Stegostoma tigrinum: one gene and its partners. The protein of the gene in region 2 purifies or fractionates together with the protein of the main gene of each other region. This does not show direct contact. Links are inferred from orthologs where the notes say so. Each region holds a gene or a part of one and is shown on either strand. Other genes may lie near its edges.

The links.
Region 1: the proteins of use1 (region 2) and scfd1 purify together in Homo sapiens (affinity purification with mass spectrometry; 3 studies listed by BioGRID and IntAct, counting the BioPlex papers as one, with this or other methods). This does not show direct contact. The link is inferred for Stegostoma tigrinum from reciprocal best matches to the Homo sapiens genes USE1 and SCFD1.
Region 3: the proteins of use1 (region 2) and bnip1b purify together in Homo sapiens (co-immunoprecipitation; 4 studies listed by BioGRID and IntAct, counting the BioPlex papers as one, with this or other methods). This does not show direct contact. The link is inferred for Stegostoma tigrinum from reciprocal best matches to the Homo sapiens genes USE1 and BNIP1.

Annotation. Positions count from the first base shown.
Region 1 is NC_081363.1:61,589,817-61,597,637, reverse strand, and holds the start of scfd1 (sec1 family domain-containing protein 1), read left to right. Parts: upstream 1-4,811; 5' UTR 4,812-4,868; coding exon 4,869-4,899; intron 4,900-7,821. UniProt on the Homo sapiens protein: Plays a role in SNARE-pin assembly and Golgi-to-ER retrograde transport via its interaction with COG4. Involved in vesicular transport between the endoplasmic reticulum and the Golgi.
Region 2 is NC_081383.1:7,078,411-7,085,310, forward strand, and holds the start of use1 (vesicle transport protein USE1), read right to left. Parts: upstream 3,021-6,900; 5' UTR 3,008-3,020; coding exon 2,906-3,007; intron 1-2,905.
Region 3 is NC_081366.1:55,035,823-55,042,796, forward strand, and holds the start of bnip1b (vesicle transport protein SEC20), read left to right. Parts: upstream 1-3,964; 5' UTR 3,965-4,007; coding exon 4,008-4,091; intron 4,092-6,974. UniProt on the Homo sapiens protein: As part of a SNARE complex may be involved in endoplasmic reticulum membranes fusion and be required for the maintenance of endoplasmic reticulum organization. Also plays a role in apoptosis.

The DNA.
Region 1 (7,821 bases), on a different chromosome or scaffold from region 2:
AGATCAGCAACCAACATGTACCAAGAAAATATCTGAAAGGTTCAAGTTGTTTTATGTTTGCCTATAAAAGTTTGATGTTTTTCTGGAAGAATGACAATAGCATTGGCTACACTAAAACAGAAAAAAAGTCATCTGTATAAGACCATTGGAGCAGAAATTAGGCCATTCGGCCCATCGAGGCTACTCCACCATTCAATCATGGCTGATAAGTTCCTCAACCCCATTCTCATGCTTTCTCCCTGTAACCCTTGATCCCCTTGGTAAACAAGAATCTATCTATTGTCTTAAAGGTACACAATGACCTGGCCTCCACAGCCTTCTGCGGCAGTGAATTCTATAGATTCACCACTCTCTGGCTGAAAAAATTTCTCTTTATCTCCGTTCTAAAGGTCTTCACTTTACTGTAAGGCTGTGCCCTCGAGTCCTAGTCTTTCCTACCAATGGAAGCATCTTTGCAATGTCCACTCTGTCCAGGCCATTCAGTATTCTGTAAATTTCAATTAGATCCCCCCCCCCACCCCCCACCAATCCTTCTAAAGTCCAATGAGTATAGTCCCAGAGTCCTCAAACATTCCTCATATGTTAAGTTTTTCATTCCTGGGACCATTCTTGTGAACGTCCTCTGAACCTACTCCAGGACCAGTACATCCTTCCTAAGATATGGAGCCCAAAACTGCACACAGTACTTTAAATGTGGCCTGACCAGAGCATTATAAAGCCTCAGTAGTACATCTCTGCTTTTATTTTAAAGTCCTCACAAAATAAATGCCAGCATTGCATTTGCCTTCCTGACTACTGACTCAACCTGCAAGTTTACCTTCAGAGTATCCTGGACTAGAGCTCTGAAGCCTCTTTGCACTTCAGACTTCTGAAATTTCTCCCCATTTAGAAAATAGTCCATGCTTTTATTCTTCTTGCAAAACTGCGTAACCTCCCAGTTTCCCACGTTTGTACTCCACCTGCCACTTCTTTGCCCACTCTCCTATCCTGTCAAATCCTTCTGCAACCTCCCCACATACTCAATATACCTGTCCCTCCACCTATCTTTGTATCATCTGCAAACTTAGCCAGAATGCCCACAGTTCCTTCATCTAGGTCATTATGAATAAAGTGAAAAGTTGTGATCCTCTGACCCTTGTAGAACACCACTTGTCACTGGCTGCCATCCTGAAAAAGACCCTTTTATTCCCACTCTCTGCTTTCTGCCAGACAGCCAATCTTCTATCCATGCTAGCGCTTTGCCTCGAACACCACAGGCCCTTATCTTACTCAGCGGCCTCCTGTGCAGCACCTTGTCAAACACCGCCCTGAAGTCCAGGTAATTAACATCAATTGGCTCTCCTTGGTCTACCCTACATGTTACTTCCTCAAAGAATTTTAGCAGACTTGTCAGGCATGGCCTCCCCTTGATGAAACCATGCTGACTTTGCCCTATTTTACCATACACTTGCAAATATTCAGAAATCTCATCCTTTATAATGAACTCCAATCTTACCCAAAACCGAGGTTAGGCTAATCATCCTGTAATTTTCTGTCTTTTGCCTTATTCTCTTTTTAAACAGGGGTGTCACATTAATGATTTTCTAGTCCTTTGGGACCCTCCCTGACTCAAATGATTCTTGAAAGATCACCACTAATGCTTCCACTATCTCTTCAGCCATCTCCTTTCGAACTCTGGGGTGTAGTCCATCTGGTGCAGGGAATTTATCCACCTTCAGGCCAACCAGTGTTAATAGCACTATTTCCTTCATGATGGCCACCATTCTCAGCTCTGCCCCCTAATTCTCTTGAATTTTTGGGAGATTACTCATATCTCCTACCATGAAGACTGACGCAAAGTAATTATTATTCAGTTCCTCAGCCATTTCCTTGTTCCCCACTACAATCCATCGTCCATCATTTTGCAGTGGTCCAATGTCCACTTTTGTCTCTCATTTGCCTTTTATATATTTATAGAAACTCTTACAGTCTTCATTTACGTTACAGGCTAGCTTACCCCTTTTTTTGTTGCCTTCTGTTGGTCTTTGTAAGTTTCCCAGTCCTCTGATTTCCCACTGCCATTCACCACATTGTATGCTTTCTGTTTTGCTTTTATGCTATCCCTGACTTCCTCAGTCAGCCATGGTTGCCTCAGCATCCCTGTACCATGCTTTTTCCTGGGGATGAATTTTTGCTGCATCTCCTGAATTACTCCCAGAAACTCCTGCCATTGTTGTTCCACTGTCTATGTATGAGGCTTCATAAAATATTCTTTTAAAATTTTGCATGTTTAAAGTTACAATATGATAACACTCTAAATTCAGAGGATAAGATACTCTGATGGTTTGGTTGATGTTGTAAATCTGTATAGTTTTGGGCAGAATGGACTTGTACATAGCACCTTTTAACAGGAAAGCAACATACATGAAGAGCAGTATTTAAAGATCATGTGAATGTTTTTAATTACTATTTTTAAATTGTTTGGTTCAATAAATTTTAGAAATTTTTTTAGAATCATTTTAGAATAAATTTTTTTAAAAATTAATTGACCTCTGCTTAGACAGAATTTCACATTGCCTTTAGGGATCTGAATCTCTTGGGAGCCTGTGTCCTACAACCTGAGCTGCCTGTTCAGTTTGTGAGTGAGACTTTTCACCATGTAAAGAGGTATTTTTGTACAGGCTGCTGTTGTACACCTTCCACTTTGCCTCCTTCATCTGCCACTTGGACATGCGTTGGCATGGTGTTTTGCTGCTGAGCAGTGGGGATTCCACATGGAAGGCCGTCTGAGTGGGAGTCCTCCCATTTTCGATCAGGGACCTGGGGTGAAGGATGTTGCACACAGCAGTTACTTGAGGTTGGTTGGTTCGCAAAGCTGCTTTGTTGTTCCGCAACCATTTCATTACCATGCTGGATAACATCCTCAGTGCAGCCTCGACACCCACAACCCAAGCTACACAACAGTTACTTATAACCACAGATTATAGCAGTTCACAAACTCCAAGCCCATCTCTTTATTTGTGGCACCATGGACCATGTGTGAATAGAATAGATTCCCTACAGTGTGGAAACAGGCCATTCAGCCCAATAGGTCCATGCTGACCCTCTGCAGAGCATCCCATCCAAACTCTGACTGATTCCTACACCCTATTCTTTAAGCCTATGTTTCCAATGGCTAATGGCCCAATCTACACACTTGTCTGAACAGTATCCCCCTACCCCGCATTTCCATAGCTAACTCACCACGACTAAACATTCCTGAACCCTATAACAATTCAGCATGGCCAATCCACCTAATTTGCACATCTTTGGGCTGTGGGAGGAAATCCGAGCAACCAGCAGAAACCCACACAGAGAACATGTGAATTCCACAGAGAACGTTGCCCGAGGGTGGAATTGAACCTGGGTCCTTAGCACTGTGAGGCAGCAGTGCTATCCACTGAGCCAGCGTGCCGCCTTTAAAGCAACAGCACTGAGGATCGTAGTCAGCAGGGTTATATATATATATTGGTTGTGAACACTTGCGCATCCTTTTTGATTATTTGAAAAATTGCCAGTTCTGTTTTTTGGTTGCACCTCAACACTCTCGATCTTTGGGCATTCAGAGCAGGGGCCTGTGGGTAGTTTGGAGGCTGTCCTCCTGGGTATATGCCTAGGCTTGGCCAGGCTGGCTATCAGCAGGTTATTCCAGGACGTCATCTCTGCCAACTGTTTTTCCCCTTTCTGCAGTTACATTCATACCTAGGTGTCATCGGAGAGGGAGGACACAATGTCCACCAATGCTCACTAGCCCTTTAGAAGATACGCTGTGGAAGATACTGTGCTTTATCTCCCGTCCAACTCCATTATGCCATAACCCTTCCTGTTCTTCCTGAATGTCCCTCACTTTTGATTGCTTCCAAAATGTTTCCCCAATTAGAAAATAGTCTAAACATGTATTTTTGCTGGAACGTGAATAGTTGTGATCCTGATACAGACGCTTGCAATTTCACTAGTTACCTGCTTACAGTACTGGAAAAGTCCCCTTTATCCCTACTGTCTGCTTTCTGACAGACAGCCAACCTCTGTCAATGTCAGTACCTCACCCCTAACACCATGCTGCTCCTCCTGACAGGCTTCTAAACAGCACCTTGTCAAGGGCCTTCTGGAAATTGAAACAGATTACAAGCATTGGCTCTCATTTGTTTAACTCATTTGTTATCTCCTCAGCAAATTCTAACAGATTTGTTGTGCATGACTTCCCTTTCACAAAGCCGTTGATGACTCAGTTCTATTTTAGCATGCACTTCCAAGTACACTGCAATCTCATCCTTAACAATGGACTCTGAAATCTTACCAACAACTGAGGTCAGGTTAACTGACGTATAATTTCTCTTCTTAAACAGGGTTACTACATGAGCTATTTTCCTGTCCTCTTGGATCCTCCCTGACTTCAGTGATTCCTGAAAGATTTTGTTGAGAAAACAGATTTGAAAATTATGAGAGATAATGGGAACTGCAGATGCTGGAGAATCCAAGATAATAAAATGTGAGGCTGGATGAACACAGCAGGCCCAGCAGCATCTCAGGAGCACAAAAGCTGACGTTTCAGGCCTAGACCCTTCATCAGAAAATTATGAATAGTGTTTCCGTGGTCTTCTGGCAAACATCCAGAATGCACAACATCCTGTTTGATGTCAAACTGTCACTTAATTCAAAGTGGAATTATGCAAGTGGAAGTCTGCTTACGCGACCACAACTGACACTGCTCACTGGCCCAGCGATTGGAATCATTACGGTAAAAGACAACCACGGCACACAGGGGCCCGACTATGTGGATCATTACGGTGCCGCGCAGGCTCTGAGTCGGAGCTGCCACGTCATCCGGAGCAACGTCAGACGAATCCAAGATGGCGGCGTCCGTGCGAGAGAAGCAGATCGGTGAGTAGCCGCTTGACAACAGCTGTTGTTGTGATTACACAGGCGAAAGATTGGAAACTCCGGCATTCCTGATAGGTCGCTGTTATGTGTGCAAAAATAAAAGACCGGCAGGTTGGCCGGGTGCCGTGTCAAGCCGAAGAAACCTCGGTTGTAACAAACTGGGATTGATGATCTGGCTATGAACCCAGCGGTCGATGGGGATCTTCTGGTGTTATCAGTATCAGGCGTTTGTCACTCTTATTTTGCTCTGCCTTTTCTCAAGGCACTCATTATTTATGTAGAGGAATGGTCTTGCTCTGAAACAATGGCATCTGTGTGTCCACAGCGAAAACAATATTGTTCTGGCCCACACAGTTTCTGCGTTTAAAAAGAGATTCAGCGATGCATGTCGCAATGGTATCTGGTAATTATCAGTTAATTGTTCACAAATAATTAAAATGTTTGATAATATCCATATTTTTAACTGATTAAAATTGGGGCCAGTTTTCTTTTTTCATATCCATGTTAGGATCTAGGTAGGATAAACGTCCCTCTAGTTTCTCGGTTCCCATTATGACCAATGCTTTCTCTATATTAGACTTAGAATACAGAAGAGGTATTTACTAGGCATTTTGAGTACAAAATTGATTTGTTATGGAAAAAGAAAACTTAATCTATGAAGTGTATAATTGCTGAACGCGGTTTGAGAACTAAACATTTATTCCTCTAAATAGCCTGGTTAAAACACACATCAGGCAAAGGAAAACGAAGAAACAGGATTTCTCTGCAGATTCATTTTTAAATGAAAAAAAAATCACTTCTGCCAATAAGTCTTACCATTTTTCCTTCAAGAACTAAGGTATTCATATGGCTGTTGGTCTGACACTCTGGTGCACCAAAGACAGCTATCACTGAACATATGCAGTTGCCACAGGGGAACTTAGCAGATCTATTCAGGGAAAATCAAAATTTTCTCACGCAAGATCAGCTGGATGTGGGCTCCAAAAAGCACAATTTCAAAATAGTGGAACCCACTTATGACTGAGTTGAGGAGAATTTTTATTCAGAAGGTTGTAACTTTTGGAATTCTCTGCCCTAAAAGGGTGTGGAATTTCGGTCACTATAAATGTTCAAGGTAGAGATCAACAGATTTCTAAATAATCGTTAATGTAAAGGGATGTGGAGATAGTGTGGGGAAAAGGCATTGACATGAATAATCGTCCTTGATTATATTGAATGGCAGAGGAGGCTCAACATGCTGAGTGGTCTAATCCTATTTCCATGCCATACCATACTTGACTGACAGGAAGGGCTCTTCAGCTGAATTGGAAGACTTCTTTCCTTCAGCTTTTTTTCCCAATTGAAATTCAAACAAACAATCTCCAGGAAGAACTAGCAGCCAATCAGTAGTACAAACAGTACTTCTTTTTCCCCAAAGAGGTTTCAGATAAACCAGATTGGCAATTAGCTGGCACTGTGCAGTTTCCAAGAGTGACTAATTTAAAAAGAGTTCCAAAAAAGTCTCATTCACCTTTTAAAAATAAAACAGTTCAGGTATCTCCACAATCCTTTCAACTCAAGTCAGCAAATTACTAATTATGAAGTCTTCATAACAGCATTTATATAAGCATACCCACACCACACAATTGAGACCATCTGTTATACCAAATGATTATCTAAGAACAAGTAGTTCCTCATTGTAATGACTTGCGTGAATCAAAAAACTGTCACTTGAGTACTTCAGTATTGTAGTCCAAATACACCTTTCATTAAAATGGTCCAAAAAGGCAGATTATCATTCTATTCTAACTGTTTCAGCTCTCTACATGATGGCACAGATTATTGCTAATCTAGCCATCAAAGTTTACTTTTAGAAGATAACCTGATGCAGAATATAATGCTTTTGTTTTGTGGACAACAGTTCATGAGATTCAGTTGGTGATTGAAATTAAATACAGAAACCTAAGAAAGAGGGGCAAAAGTAGACCATTCTTCCCTTTGAGCCACCTTTGCCATTCGTGTGATCATCCAACTGAGAGGTCTGTTCCTGTTTCTCCCTAATATCCTTGATCCCATTAGACACAAGTGCTCTCCAACTAATTCTTGAAATCATATAAAAATTTGGGCTTGACGGCTTTCTGTGGTAGTGAATTCCATAAGCTTAGCACTCCCTGGGTGAAGACATTTCTCTTCATCTCAGTTCGAACTGGTTTTATCCACATCCTTAGACTGTGACACTATTTGGTTGGTGTCCTGGATTAGATTTTAATGTTTCTGTATTTGAGCAAGTTCTGTGGTCTGAGCAAAGCACATCATAGTACGTTATCAAGGAGAGGGACACACTTGTAACATACTCTCGTTGTTTACAATTTAATATGTCTAAGCAAAAACTGGCTCCATTTGAAAAGTGCCAGTAACCTGTTTGTAACCACATGATAGTTATTTATTGTTTTATGCTAAAAGCTGGATAAAAGTAAGTTAGTATACATAGAATAAATAACATTGAAAAATAGTTTTGAAATTGAAGCTTGCTGTGAATATTTGCATTTTTTGAGGTTCCTGGTATGTACTAATTAACTTTGTTAAGATATATCTTTCATGTATAAATTACAATTGCTGAGAGACAATTCCGTTAAAGTTATTTAGAAAGTCAGTGTCCTGTCTACAGCCAAAAAGTATCCCTTTCATTATACTAATTAAGTTTCCATTTCCAGTTCAACATTAAATTCTGAGTTTACTATTTATAAAAATGCTTGTATTACTTTGTTTTTTTAGGATATCTTTTAGTTTTTTTTTGCTTCAATAAGTTCAAAATAAATTTAAAATTTTCACAATTCCATTAGAGACTAATAACTTTTAAAAAGTTAATACAACATTGGTTAACAAATACAACTGAAACATGTCTGAAACATTTTGACGGAATGTCATGCTTCTGGTTAATTT
Region 2 (6,900 bases):
ATAAAGGCCTGAATTGATGGATCACAGATCACAGACAGCTAGGCCCAAAAGGACACCAGCGCCCACTGACTATCCAGCACAATAATCACATCACCAGGACATGCCCAATGCATTTCACAGCCAGCTAATTATTTTTCAAGTCCAAATTGTTGCTGAGAAGGAGGAACGCGGGAATAATGTGAATAAAGTAAGATCCAACAAAACAACAATAAGAATGTTCCAGATCATCTACATGGAGAGACAGTTGTTGGCTAGGACACAGAGACAACTCCCCTGCTCTTCTCTAAAACTGTGCCATCGGATTTTTGACCCCCACCTGTTCAGGCACACAAGTTTCCAGGGTTTTACGTCTCTTCCAAAACTCACTTGCAGCAGTGGCACTGGCCTGAAATGATGTTCTGAAGGCCTAGGATGGAGCTTCAGCCACATGATTCAAAAGCAAGATCGCCATTAGTGAAGTGGCACTGACGTTTAGAATGCATTCACCTTGGTCGATATGCTCAAGAGGGAAGTACAGGTCATTCTCAACACCTCGGGGAGGGGAGGGGAGGGGCGGGGGGAGCAGCACTCCTCCCCCACATAGACATGAATGTCATGCCACTGTATCTCACAGGAATTGAGAGTGTTTGATAGAGTGTGTTTGCAATCATTTTCTATTAATAACAGAAGTTGCTTTCTTCCCTTCTTCAATTCGTCTCAGTTTCTACTTAATATCTGAATATCAAGACAAGATAGAAGTGAAACAGAATCTCAGTTGTTACTAGCTCGCCTACCTGATAATGGTATGACTCCCAAGCAAAAGCAAGTCAAGATTCCTGGCTCATAATATTAAAAGAAATTGATAGTTAGTCTCTCGGTTAGGGATTGGTCAGGATCATCCAACCCATGAAACTCAACACAATAAGAGCCACTCATTATTTGCAGGGACTGGGTCCGTGACAGATTTCCCCCCTGTTCTCTGAACACTCTTCGCAAAACTATCCAAGGCTGCCTGTGGTCCTTTATCTACAGTCAAACGTTATGTAAAACAAGTATTTGTGAACCGCACATGCAAAATTCTTGATATGACTGAATTCAAAGGAGCGTAATATTTCAATTGGTGCAGCCCAAAAACCTGGAAATCCATATTTTCCTGAGATACAGAGAGAGACACACTCACACATAAAGAGAGTGCCACACAGACACAGCACTTGGATTTTAAAACAACCACTATCCCATTTCAGTCCATCAAAAATACAGAAAAATTAAAAAGATCTTTATTGGATCAAGAGCTAATAGATAGGCTGGATCTCTGTCCTGGTCCATACCAACATAGAATGACGCATTTTGAGCCCTTATGCTGTAAACATTTCTAAGTTTGAAATTTTTTGTGAAGTAGGAGCATTTAGTTACTAAAATCTTCAAATGAATTTCACCAAAGATAACTTTGGAACTCCAAGCAATATCTTTTCTACCCTGGAAATCAGACCTAACACAAAGGCAGAAGGCTCCAGGTCACCTCTGTAGGATGTCCTCAGGGTAACATTTTCAGTAGCTTCAATGACTTTCCTTCTATTTTAAAAGGCCATAAGTTGGCATGTTTGCTGATGACTGCATATTGTTCAGTTTTCATTTCCACTCCTCAGGTATAGAAGGATCCTGTAGCAGCAGTAAGACCAGGGCAACATTCAGGCTTCGGCTGATTAGTGACAAGTCATATTTATGCTACACAAGTGGAATGTAGTGATCACCGCAATGGGTAAGAATCTGGCCATCTTCCCTGAACATTCAACAGCATAATCACCAAATACCCCATTGTCAGCATACCATGAATCATCATTGATGAAAGACTGGACAAGATGTAAATACCTTCAGAAATAGCAAGAACTGCAGATACTGGAGTCAGAGATAACAGTGTACAGCTGGAGAAGCACAGCAGGCCAGGCAGCAGAGGAGCACGGAAGCTGACATTTCAAGTCAGGACCTTGTTGAGCTCTTGTGGCGCAATGACTGTGTCCTCTAGCTCTGGCCCAAAATGTCTGGCTTCAAGTCCCACCTACCAGAGGGGTGTACCACAACATCTGATTAGACCAATTTTAAAAAAAACCATAAATACTTTGAATACAAGAGTTTCAAGTTTGCAATTGTATAGCAAATGATTCATCTATGTCCCCAGAGCCTTTCCACCATCTGCAAATTACAAGCATGATGGAATTCCCTGGTTGAACACAAAAGGTTTGGCATGATCTTTGATGAACACATCCAAAAACAGCACATAATGACTACAATGTATACCAATAAAATCCACTGCAGCAACTCACCAAGGCTCCAACAGCCACTTACAAACCTACAATCTCTATCAAGGTTGGAACAAGGGAAGCAGATGCACCACCTGAAAGTTTACTTCCAAGCCCCATATACCCCTGACTTGGAAATACCATCATTGTTGCTGAAAATTCTGACCAGAACATCATTAGAAGTGTCCCTACATCCAAAGAACGTCATCCAAGAAGGCAGCTCACCACGCTCTTAACAAGGACCATCAAACATGAGCCATCTTTGACCACACCCATCACTAGGAAAACCGAAGAGTGAACTGTCTGGCTGTGTACTCGTCAAGAATTAGGGAGGCAGGAACTTGGCCTCCATTGAGCCGCCTAGTGGCCCAGAGCCTGCAATTACACCGTGACAGTTGACATTGAAAAATTAAGTGACGTGAACATGAATATCAAGATGAAAAGTCAAGGGTTTAAGAGACAGAGTAGGGGCACTGGCTACAGCATTTATACCAACGCACCGAGATTACTGAAGGGCGTTACTGATCAAAAGCTAAATAATGCGTTCTGGGACAGCTCCATTACACCATGCCTTATGATATAGTACCATTATTAGCCTCAGTCTCTCGCCGTTATCTCCACCCGGTTACCTTTTCCAGCCGCCAGTCCTTTTCTTCCCTCTTTTCCCCCGCCATCGACTCGCATCTCACCAACAGCCGCAAGAAGTTCTTCTCCAACCTGGAGGTCGCCATCTTTACGACAACAACTTCCTTTGCATCACTTCCGCCGTATCCTTGGAGGCTGCCATAATTAATGCAGGCAGGTGATGAACAACGAGAGGCGGCAAGATGGTCCTCATCCTGAAAAATAACCTGCCTAAGTCTCGGCGCCACCTGGTGGCCGCAGCGCGCCTGGCATTTTAAAACCACCAACAAACATTTACTTTTGAATGTATTTGAAAATCATACTTTCATCACTTTCATCATCTTCACAAAAATGTTTGCTACAATCATTTTGTTAAAAACACTGCTGATAATTCTCACCTCCATATCATTTCTGCAAATAAACTGGTCATCTGTGTTACCAACTCTTCAAAATTACCCTGGAGTCTCCATGATTAGATTATTATTCTGTTATTTTCTCCGATTTACCTCTTGTTTCTAATCTGCATGCACGTTGGTTCTGTAGCTTTTTCTTCTCATATTCAGTGATTAATAAACTCATTCATTTGGTTAGTTCAACAGAGAGGTTTGAATTTAACCTTGCTGCAGCAACGGTAACAGTTAGTGAATAGTCATAAGATCAGAAGAAATAGGAACATGAATAGGCCATTTGGCCCCTTAAGCTTGCCGTACCATTCAATAGGATCTTGGCTGACCTGGCATTCCTGACATCCATTTTACGGCCTATACCCTGGAAACCTTGATTTCATGGGAGATCAAGAATTTATCTACCTCAGACCTAAATATACACAGGGACTTTGTCACCAAGGACTCTGTGGCAAGGAGCTCTAAAGACTCTTACCTCTCTGAGAGCAGAAATTCCTCTTCATCTCAATCTTAACTTGGTGCCCTAATATTCTAAGACTATGCCCTCTAGTCCCAGACTCTCTCATGAGGGGAAACATCCTCTCAGCATTTACACTGTAAAGCCCCTTCAGAACCCTTTCTGTTTCAGTGAGACCACCTCTTATTCTTCTGAAATCCAGTGAATAGCGATCTCACCTCTTTAGCTTTTGTGTATCGGAGAATTGCTCCAGAGCAGGGATCATCCTTGTGTATCTTCTCTGAACTGCCTCTAATGAAATAATATCTTTTCTTAAATAAGGGGACCAAAACTTGTTCATAGTACTCCATAGGAGCTCTCACCAGCACCTTGTACATTTGCAGTAAGACTTCTCCACTCTCATACTCCAACCACCTTGAAATAAAGGCCAACATTCCATTAGCTTTCCTGGGAACATCCACCCTCACCCAGATGCATAATGATTTGAGGTGTCCAGTTTGGAACCAAATGAATTGGGAACCCTGGACAGGGGTTCGATCATCAAAGCACAACACAGATTCATTTAGTCTTTGTGCTTGTCTTGTGCTTTTGAAATCAACAGAAAATGGAAGTTTCTCAGAAGACCTTTGATGAAGACTGGCCCTAATATTTCATCCTCACACACAACGTTCTGTCAAAATTCTAATTCTATCATATTGGTTTACAGTCCATCAGACATCATAAAAGCAGTTCACCTGAAAATTACAAGATAATAAAATGTGAGGCTGGATGAACACAGCAGGCCAAGCAGCATCTCAGGAGCACAAAAGCTGACGTTTCAGGCCTGGACCCTTCATCAGAGAGGGGGATGGGGAGAGGGAACTGGAATAAATAGGGAGAGAGGGGGAGGCGGACCGAAGATGGAGAGTAAAGAAGATAGGTGCAGAGACTATAGGTGGGGAGGTAGGGAGGGGATAGGTCAGTCCAGGGAAGACGGACAGGTCAAGGAGGTGGGATGAGGTTAGTAGGTAGATGGGGGTGCGGCTTGGGGTGGGAGGAAGGGATGGGTGAGAGGAAGAACCGGTTAGGGAGGCAGAGACAGGTTGGACTGGTTTTGGGATGCAGTGGGTGGGGGGGAAGAGCTGGGCTGGTTGTGTGGTGCAGTGGGGGGAGGGGACGAACTGGGCTGGTTTAGGGATGCAGTAGGGGAAGGGGAGATTTTGAAACTGGTGAAGTCCACATTGATACCATTAGGCTGCAGGGTTCCCAGGCGGAATATGAGTTGCTGTTCCTGCAACCTTCGGGTGGCATCATTGTGGCAGTGCAGGAGGCCCATGATGGACATGTCATCTAGAGAATGGGAGGGGGAGTGGAAATGGTTTGCGACTGGGAGGTGCAGTTGTTTGTTGCGAACTGAGCGGAGGTGTTCTGCAAAGCGGTCTCCAAGCCTCCACTTGGTTTCCCCAATGTAGAGGAAGCCGCACCGGGTACAGTGGATGCAGTATACCACATTGGCAGATGTGCAGGTGAACCTCTGCTTAATGTGGAATGTCATCTTGGGGCCTGGGATAGGGGTGAGGGAGGAGGTGTGGGGGCAAGTGTAGCATTTCCTGCGGTTGCAGGGGAAGGTGCCGGGTGTGGTGGGGTTGGAGGGCAGTGTGGAGCGAACAAGGGAGTCACGGAGAGAGTGGTCTCTCCGGAAAGCAGACAAGGGTGGGGATGGAAAAATGTCTTGGGTGGTGGGGTCGGATTGTAAATGGCGAAAGTGTCGGAGGATGATGCGTTGTATCCGGAGGTTGGTAGCGTGGTGTGTGAGAACGAGGGGGATCCTCTTAGGGCGGTTGTGACGGGGGGGGGGTTGTGAGGGATGTGTTGCGGGAAATATGGAAGACGCGGTCAAAGGCGTTCTCGATCACTGTGGGGGGAAAGTTGCAGTCCTTGAAGAACTTGGACATCTGGGATGTGCGGGAGTGGAATGTCTTATCGTGGGAGCAGATGCGGCGGAGGCGGAGGAATTGGGAATAGGGGATGGACTTTTTGCAGGAGGGTGGGTGGGAGGAGGTGTATTCTAGGTAGCTGTGGGAGTCGGTGGGCTTGAAATGGACATCAGTTACAAGCTGGTTGCCTGAGAGGAGCTCGAACAGTTCATCCACTTCACCAACACCTTCCACCCCAACCTTCAGTTCACCTGGGCCATCTCCAGCACATCCCTCACCTTCCTGGACCTCTCAGTCTCCATCTCAGGCAACCAGCTTGTAACTGATGTCCATTTCAAGCCCACCGACTCCCACAGCTACCTAGAATACACCTCCTCCCACCCAACATCCTGCAAAAATTCCATCTCCTATTCCCAATTCCTCCGCCTCTGCCGCATCTGCTCCCACGATAAGACATTCCACTCCCGCACATCCTAGATGTCCAAGTTCTTCAAGGACCGCAACTCTCCCCCCACAGTGATCGAGAACGCCCTTGACCGCGTCTCCCGTATTTCCCGCAACACATCCCTCACACCCCCCCCCCTCCCCCCCCCCCACGGCCGTCACAACCGCCCTAAGAGGATCCTCCTCGTTCTCACACACCACGCTACCAACCTCCGGATACAACGCATCATCCTCCGACACTTTCGCCATTTACAATCCGACCCCACCACCCAAGACATTTTTCCATCCCCACCCTTGTCTGCTTTCCGGAGAGACCACTCTCTCCGTGACTCCCTTGTTCGCTCCACACTGCCCTCCAACCCCACCACACCCGGCACCTTCCCCTGCAACCGCAGGAAATGCTACACTTGCCCCCACACCTCCTCCCTCACCCCTATCCCAGGCCCCAAGATGACATTCCACATTAAGCAGAGGTTCACCTGCACATCTGCCAATGTGGTATACTGCATCCACTGTACCCGGTGCGGCTTCCTCTACATTGGGGAAACCAAGTGGAGGCTTGGAGACCGCTTTGCAGAACACCTCCGCTCAGTTCGCAACAAACAACTGCACCTCCCAGTCTCAAACCATTTCCACTCCCCCTCCCATTCTCTAGATGACATGTCCATCATGGGCCTCCTGCACTGCCACAATGATGCCACCCGAAGGTTGCAGGAACAGCAACTCATATTCCGCTTGGGAACCCTGCAGCCTAATGGTATCAATGTGGACTTCACCAG
Region 3 (6,974 bases), on a different chromosome or scaffold from region 2:
TGATTCTCTACAGTTTCTCTGGTAAGAGGATCCCTTTTCAGATGAATTATTAATTACAAGCCCCAAACCCATCTGACAATACTAAATAAACATCATTGTTTGCAAACAGTATTTTAATAATGCTTTCAAGAAAACAGGCCTTTACTTGCAGATATTATTGGGACATGTATTTCTCACAGCTGAGGATATTTATCTTTAGTGTAACATTTGACAATGGGACCAATAGCTTATAATACTTCATACAAACACTTTTTTATTTTCTTAGGGAAAAGTGGGTAGAAAATGGAATGTGGTCCCATTCAAAAAGTAAAAATTCCATGTAGCTTTTGTATAAAGTTATGGCTCTGAGATATTAATATTCATGTTTCTGTAATGGAGCCTCTGTAAGCTTGCAGCAATGGTGTGGAAGGTGATTGAGTATTCGATAGCATCCTCCCTGGAGCATCTTTGTCAGAAAAGAGGCCACACACAAACAGGGAGAGACAGACAAGGGTTTACTGCAACTGGATATGAACTACAGGTTTAGATCCACACAAATACTCTGTTTTCCTAGTTTAACTGTAAAATCCCCCTATGTTTGAAAAGTAAAGAATCCCTGCTTCATGATCTTTGAGCCATCCACATGCTTAAATCTTGCATTACATTTCTATCAGTCAATAAGATTTCACAGAACAAGCCTCAGGCTGATGAGTTTGAAAAGGGCCTGGTCAAGATGGAAATGATGGTGAAGGATTGAAAATTGCAATGTTTATGTGGAAAGCCAAAGCTGTTCCGGTATCTTAAACCCAGTCAGATGCTCCTCATGTGAGTTCCCAGGGATGCTGTGGAAGAAGGAAGGAGCACTCCTGCTCAAATATTCTACTTGACAATGAGTGGGAAAATTGACAGATTTGGAGGAAGACTAGAAACACCTGATAATTCTGTGAATGAAGACTGGACTGAGGGCACACAGCTAATTACAGCAATGCAGAAGTCTTAATACGAGCAAGGAGGCGGTGTTTATTATTAAATCAAATATGTGGAAAATCTACTGGGAAGATGACCATGTGTTTAAAGAAGTCCACAATGGATCTTTGAGGTACTGAGGATAATATTTGGGACAGCTATAGACTGAAATAGCTACAGCTGAGGTCTTACGAATACAAGCAAGCTGAATCAGAAGACTTGGTTCCTGTATCCCTGGAGCTGAGAAGATTGTTCAGCCACATCATCCTCCTGAATGTCTCCTTCAAATCAATCAGGGACAGACAGCTATAGTACTGCCTAGGCATTGTAGCCAGATTGATATCCCAGTGGAAGTAGAGACATCGAGAATAGCCGTGGTTTTGGGTTGAATGTGTTCAGAGATATCTGGCTGATCTTGGAAAGGTGCTATAAGCAGTAGATTGAGGTTGACAGATGTGGCTCAGAAGTCCTTAAGCGTGCTTCATGCACTCAAGGTACATCAAGCTTTAACAAATCCTAGAACTGTTTGTGCAGCAGGGAATCATTCTTCTATCCATCCGTGCAGTGACTGTTCTTGAACTTTCATGCCAGTATCTCCAACTTGTCAACTTCGGGCCTTGCTAGAGCATAAAGAGTCATATGGAGTAGAACTCTCACTTGATATAACCCTGGAAGACTTACTGTGGGAGAAATGGGTAGTCTACCCATGCACATTGCCAACTTCAGCGACCAGAAACACAATGACCTTAAACCTGCAACTGTCAAAGACAGTGAACTAATTGGAACAGATGTCTCTCAGCTCATTGCAAAGACGGACATTGGCGAGTTGGAGGAGAACCAGAGGAGACAGGTTGTTTCTACTCTCACTGTGTATGGGACAGCATTCATTAAAAGTGATGGTGACATTGAGTACTGTAACTAAAGATGACAGTCTGGTAAAGATTCCTTACCACCGGAACCCATCCCGTCACCGAAAGTCCGAGACTTCCAGCAGAAGCCTTTAGAGAAAGATCTTGGTCAAAGCTTAGCAAGTCCATACATCTCTCCCATAGTCCACTTAAGAAAGAAAGCTGGAAAACTTGCAGAGCTAAATTCTGGATCTCCATATCTGATTCATTCAGTCACACCCTTCTTCCTTGGCTATGGACCAAATTTGACAGAATTAATCTAAGGGATGTGACTGCCTCCTGAAAGAGGTCCTGATTTGAGAAAACACATGTTTGTCATATCAGAAACTAGCTACAACATTTATGTTGTGACCTATGCAAGTAGTGGGCTAATGACAAAGAGAGAGAAATAGAGACAATGCATGATTCCAATTTTGATCATAACAACATAATTGTGTAAAGGGTTAACTATAAGGATTAAGGGGCAATATTGCAAAAGATCATGGTTCTGAAGGGGTTAATTCCCGTTCATGCTACATTCTTTCCAGCCATTCAACAACAGTCATATGCAGTAGACACATGGGCTTCTACTTTTGCTTTCAGAGGGAGAAGATGTACCAGCTCCCTAAGATCCTAATAATTATGTCTGAGCAAATGCAGTTGCCTCATTTCTGTCATGCAGTAAACCTTCTTGATATCCTAGAGCAGAGCTTCTTCTGTTGATACTCCACAGTGCTGTATCCTTGACCACTAATCACCAGATATGTCCAAGACAAACAAAGACAGAGAACACCTCCGCTCGGTTCGCAATAAACAACTGCACCTCCCAGTCGGGAACCATTTCAACTCCCTCTCCCATTCTTTAGATGACATGTCCATCATGGGCCTCCTGCAGTGCCACAATGATGCCACCCAAAGGTTGCAGGAACAGCAACTCACATTCTGCTTGGGAACCCTGCAGCCCAATGGTATCAATGTGGACTTCACCAGCTTCAAAATCTCCCCTTCCCCCACCACATCCCAAAACCAGCCCAGTTCGTCCCCTCCCCCCAACTGCATCACACAACCAGCCCAGCTCTTCCCCTCCCGCCACTGCATACCAAAACCAGCCCAGCCTGTCTCTGCCTCCCTAACCTGTTCTTCCTCTCACCGATCCCTTCCTCCCACCCCAAGCCGCACCTCCATTTCCTACCTACTAACCTCATCCCATCTCCTTGACCTGTCCATCTTCCGTGGACTGACCTATCCCCTCCCTACCTATACTCTCCTCTCCACCTATCTTCTTTTCTCTCCATCTTTGGTCCACCTCCCCCTCTCTCCCTATTTATTCCAGAACCCTCACCCCATCCCCTTCTCTGATGAAGGGGCTAGGCCTGAAACGTCAGCTTTTGTGCTCCTGAGATGCTGCTTGGCCTGCTGTGTTCATCCAGCCTCACATTTTGTTATCTTGGATTCTCCAGCATCTGCAGTTCCCATTATCTCAAGGACAGAGGAGAGTTGGCCAAAGCACTATCTCAAGGCATCCTTATCCAGTATTACACACTGATGGAGGTGGCAAATACCATAAGGTACCAGAAATGATCATGTGAAAATGTCATAGTAACGAAAGTCCAAATTTGATTCACTTGGTCCAAAGGACATTCTGATGCTAGTCTGACAATTGTGTAGAACTTTTAACAACAGTGCACCATTCCAAGACACAACTGGCTTTCTTTTAACACTTGCAAGTTCATTCATCACAGGGTTTTTATCCAAAACAAATAAGTTTAGAACAGTAGGAGGCAATCTTGGGTGTCGGCCAGATGGAGTAAAATCAGATTTATTTATTAAGCTGTATTTGTTCGGGTCTCCGACTCACATGACCCACACACAATCCAGCCAGCTCTTACTCTTAAAACACTTCCATGAAAACTCACAAGATATTTTGACTGGTCTTCCAAAGGTCTACGGAACTTCATCTGTAAGCTCCAAGTCTATTGCATATCGAGGAGATGTTAACCTCTACCTGCTAAGTACTAGGATGAGTGCACCCCATTTAAAAAAAACGGTTTTATATTCTCAAAGCATTTCAGTCATTGTAGCAGCAGGGAAACGTTGCCTTTCGGCTGCGGATCTGTTTTGGAAGAAGTGCGTTTCGCCCACGTGGCTCTGGGCCTCCGTAGCCACTGGGGAAAGATGGCGGTTGCTCCGGATGTTCTTGTCCGAATCTGCGCGCAAGAAATCATCAAATATGATCTGGAAATAAAAGCGCTGGTCCAGGTAAAGTTGCGAATGATTCACGCGTTGTCTTAGTACCGAAGAATAACACCTAATTTAGAATGGTCTGTACTGAAGTTGCACAGAAACAGAACTGTGTGCGTGTACCGACAGTGTATTTATCCGTGGGACCCAGAGTATGGATTCAACCTGTAAATTATATAGATCTGTGATTTTTTTTGCAGCTACCTCATTAAAGGTTTAGTAATTGTGAACAATAAGTATGTGCTTTTGGTTTTTTTTTCATGCGATATCGGTGTCGCAGTCAAAACCAGCGTTTGTTGCTCATCCTTATTCGCTGTTGAACTGGGTAGCTGATAGGGCCGGTACAGAGGGCGTTTAAGACGCCTTCGTATTGCTGAGCCCGGAGTCACGTACAGACCAGGCCGGGTATGGTGAACCAGATGAGCTTTTACAACAGTTGATAATTTCACTGCAACGCTGACGTCAGCTTTCAATTTTATCAATTGTATTAAATTCCACCAGTTGACCACTGCACCACACACCCTTGATTGTGCAGACATATGCACATTTCATCCACTTAAATTGAGGGTAATTTTGGATTCCAGCTTCTGAATCACTCTGGATAGAATAACTGGGTTTTGGTGATGATAATGAAATTATGTTAATCAGAGCCAGAGTAACATATACTTTGTCATGGCACCTTTATGTTCTGAATTTTTGTACAGATGATTTTAAACCATGATTTCTTCCCAGAACTTCCATGTTGTTCTGGTTTTATAGGCCCATGTCAACATTGTTTAAACATATGATTAAATGAAAATTTAACATAATGCAGTGTGTGATCAGCACGTATTAGGCTCTTGAGTAAACTGCTCAAGGTGAAAGTCCTGCTATGATTGGAGAAAAAAATAGATGCTACCCTTAATGGTGCTTCAGGCTATTCGAGCTGAAGGAATAATAAAGAATAACTTGCTGCATCCATAAGTAATGGAAATACCCTAAGTTATGTTTAATATTTCCAAGTGATTATTTGTATGTGTCAGTTCATACAGCAGCTGATCTTTACAAGAGGTGATTTTATGTTTCTAATGTGTTCACTTTTTAGATTTATTAGGAAGTTTTTCTGTAACAAGATGTGTAGGAATTTCTGAATGCAATGTGCATTTTCTCTGTTTCATCAAAAATGAACAGCATTTGCATTTTACTGGTGAAACTGAGAAGCTCACTCTTTGTTGGATAGAAGCAGGTTACTTAAACTATGCAATTTCATGAGAAAAATATGCAAGTTTGATTATAGATGCAGATAGAAATACAGATCTACATCTGTCATCCCTCTGACTGACTTGAGGGCTTTCTTGCTACTGATGGAAATCAACATTTAGAAGCGATGGATCAAAGATCTTGGAACTGATGCGAATGCATTGATCAAACCTAAGATGGCTGTTAAGTCTTTAATCAGTTAGGAAGGAGTCAATCTCCAAGTTGATACACAGTCAGATTCTAAACAAGGCTTCACACCTAAAAATTTCTGACCTGAGATGTCACCTCTGGTATACTGAGGGAGATACTGAGTTATCTAGGGGCAATGACTTGAAAGAAATTTGGAATTTACATATTAATCTGTCTATTGCCATTCGCTGTGGAGAAACAAAAGGTTTTGGTGTGCATGTATACAAATCAGTTAATGGAATGTGCACCTCAATGTCAAGGGGCCCTGGAGTACAAAAATGATAAACTGATGTTTCAATGTATGGAGTATTGGACGAATCCCAACTGAGGTACTGCAACCAGTAATGGGTTCCTGTATTATACCTCAGTAAGGATATGCTTACTCAGAAAAATGTGCTATGTTGTAAATTCTACTGAATTGTAGCAGAGCTTAAAGGGTTAAGTTGTAAAGATAGATTTCATAAACAAGACATGATCCCATGAGGTTTGAAGACTGGTGGGTTGTCATGTGTAAAATAGTGAAATAACTTGATAGATTAGAAACTAATTACTGTGTTGGGGAATTGTGAAACATAAAGGCAATGGTTTTTAAAATTAAAGTTAGACCATGCAAAGATGAAGTCAGGAATCATTTTCATTAAGAAGGTAGTATAAATGTGCAGTTCCTTACCCCAAATGGGTGCGACTGCTTTGCCAAATGAAAATCTCAAGACTTGGGTGTACTTTTTTTTCCCCGTTGGGTAAACAGAATCAGCAGTAGGTAAGGAGTTGACGTTGAGATATTAGCTGTAATCTAACTGAACATGCTGATGGTTACGAATATCCCATACATGTTCTCATGCTATTGTGTCCTAAATGATAAAAGCAATGGTGAAAAATGGCCGTAAAATGCAGCTTGAAACTCCCAGTGGTCTACTCATGACAGCATGCCAACTCTGTCCTGCCCATTTGCGTTACATAAGTTAATGTGCCACACTTAAATGGAAGTCGAAATAGTTTTAAAAAGGAGTAGTGAATCATCTTATATTTTTGAGTTGGCTTTAAACCAACTAATGTTTCTTGGCATTCAGATTTTACATCCAAATTGATTTGGCTAAAGTTATTTTTAGTATTAGCATAATTCAAGCTTTATTGCTAAATTGACTACAGGTAGTTGAAAGTTCTTCATTCCCTTGTTAAATTGTAACTTCACTCTTAAAGCTTTAGTAATGTTGAATGATAGAGCAGATTAATCATATTGCATTTGTTAATTTATAGGTTTCCGTTATCACATCTGAAGAGTTAACCATCGTTCTGAACAGATGCTGACCAAACTGCTTTGAATTTCGAGTATTTTATATCAGTTTTGATTTATTTTCCATATACTTTCAACATAATTACTTCTCTTTAGATTGTAGAACCATTATGACTTGATTTTGATCTATCAGTGGTAAAGAATCCCTCATACATTTGAGCAGTGTTAAAATTAGTAAA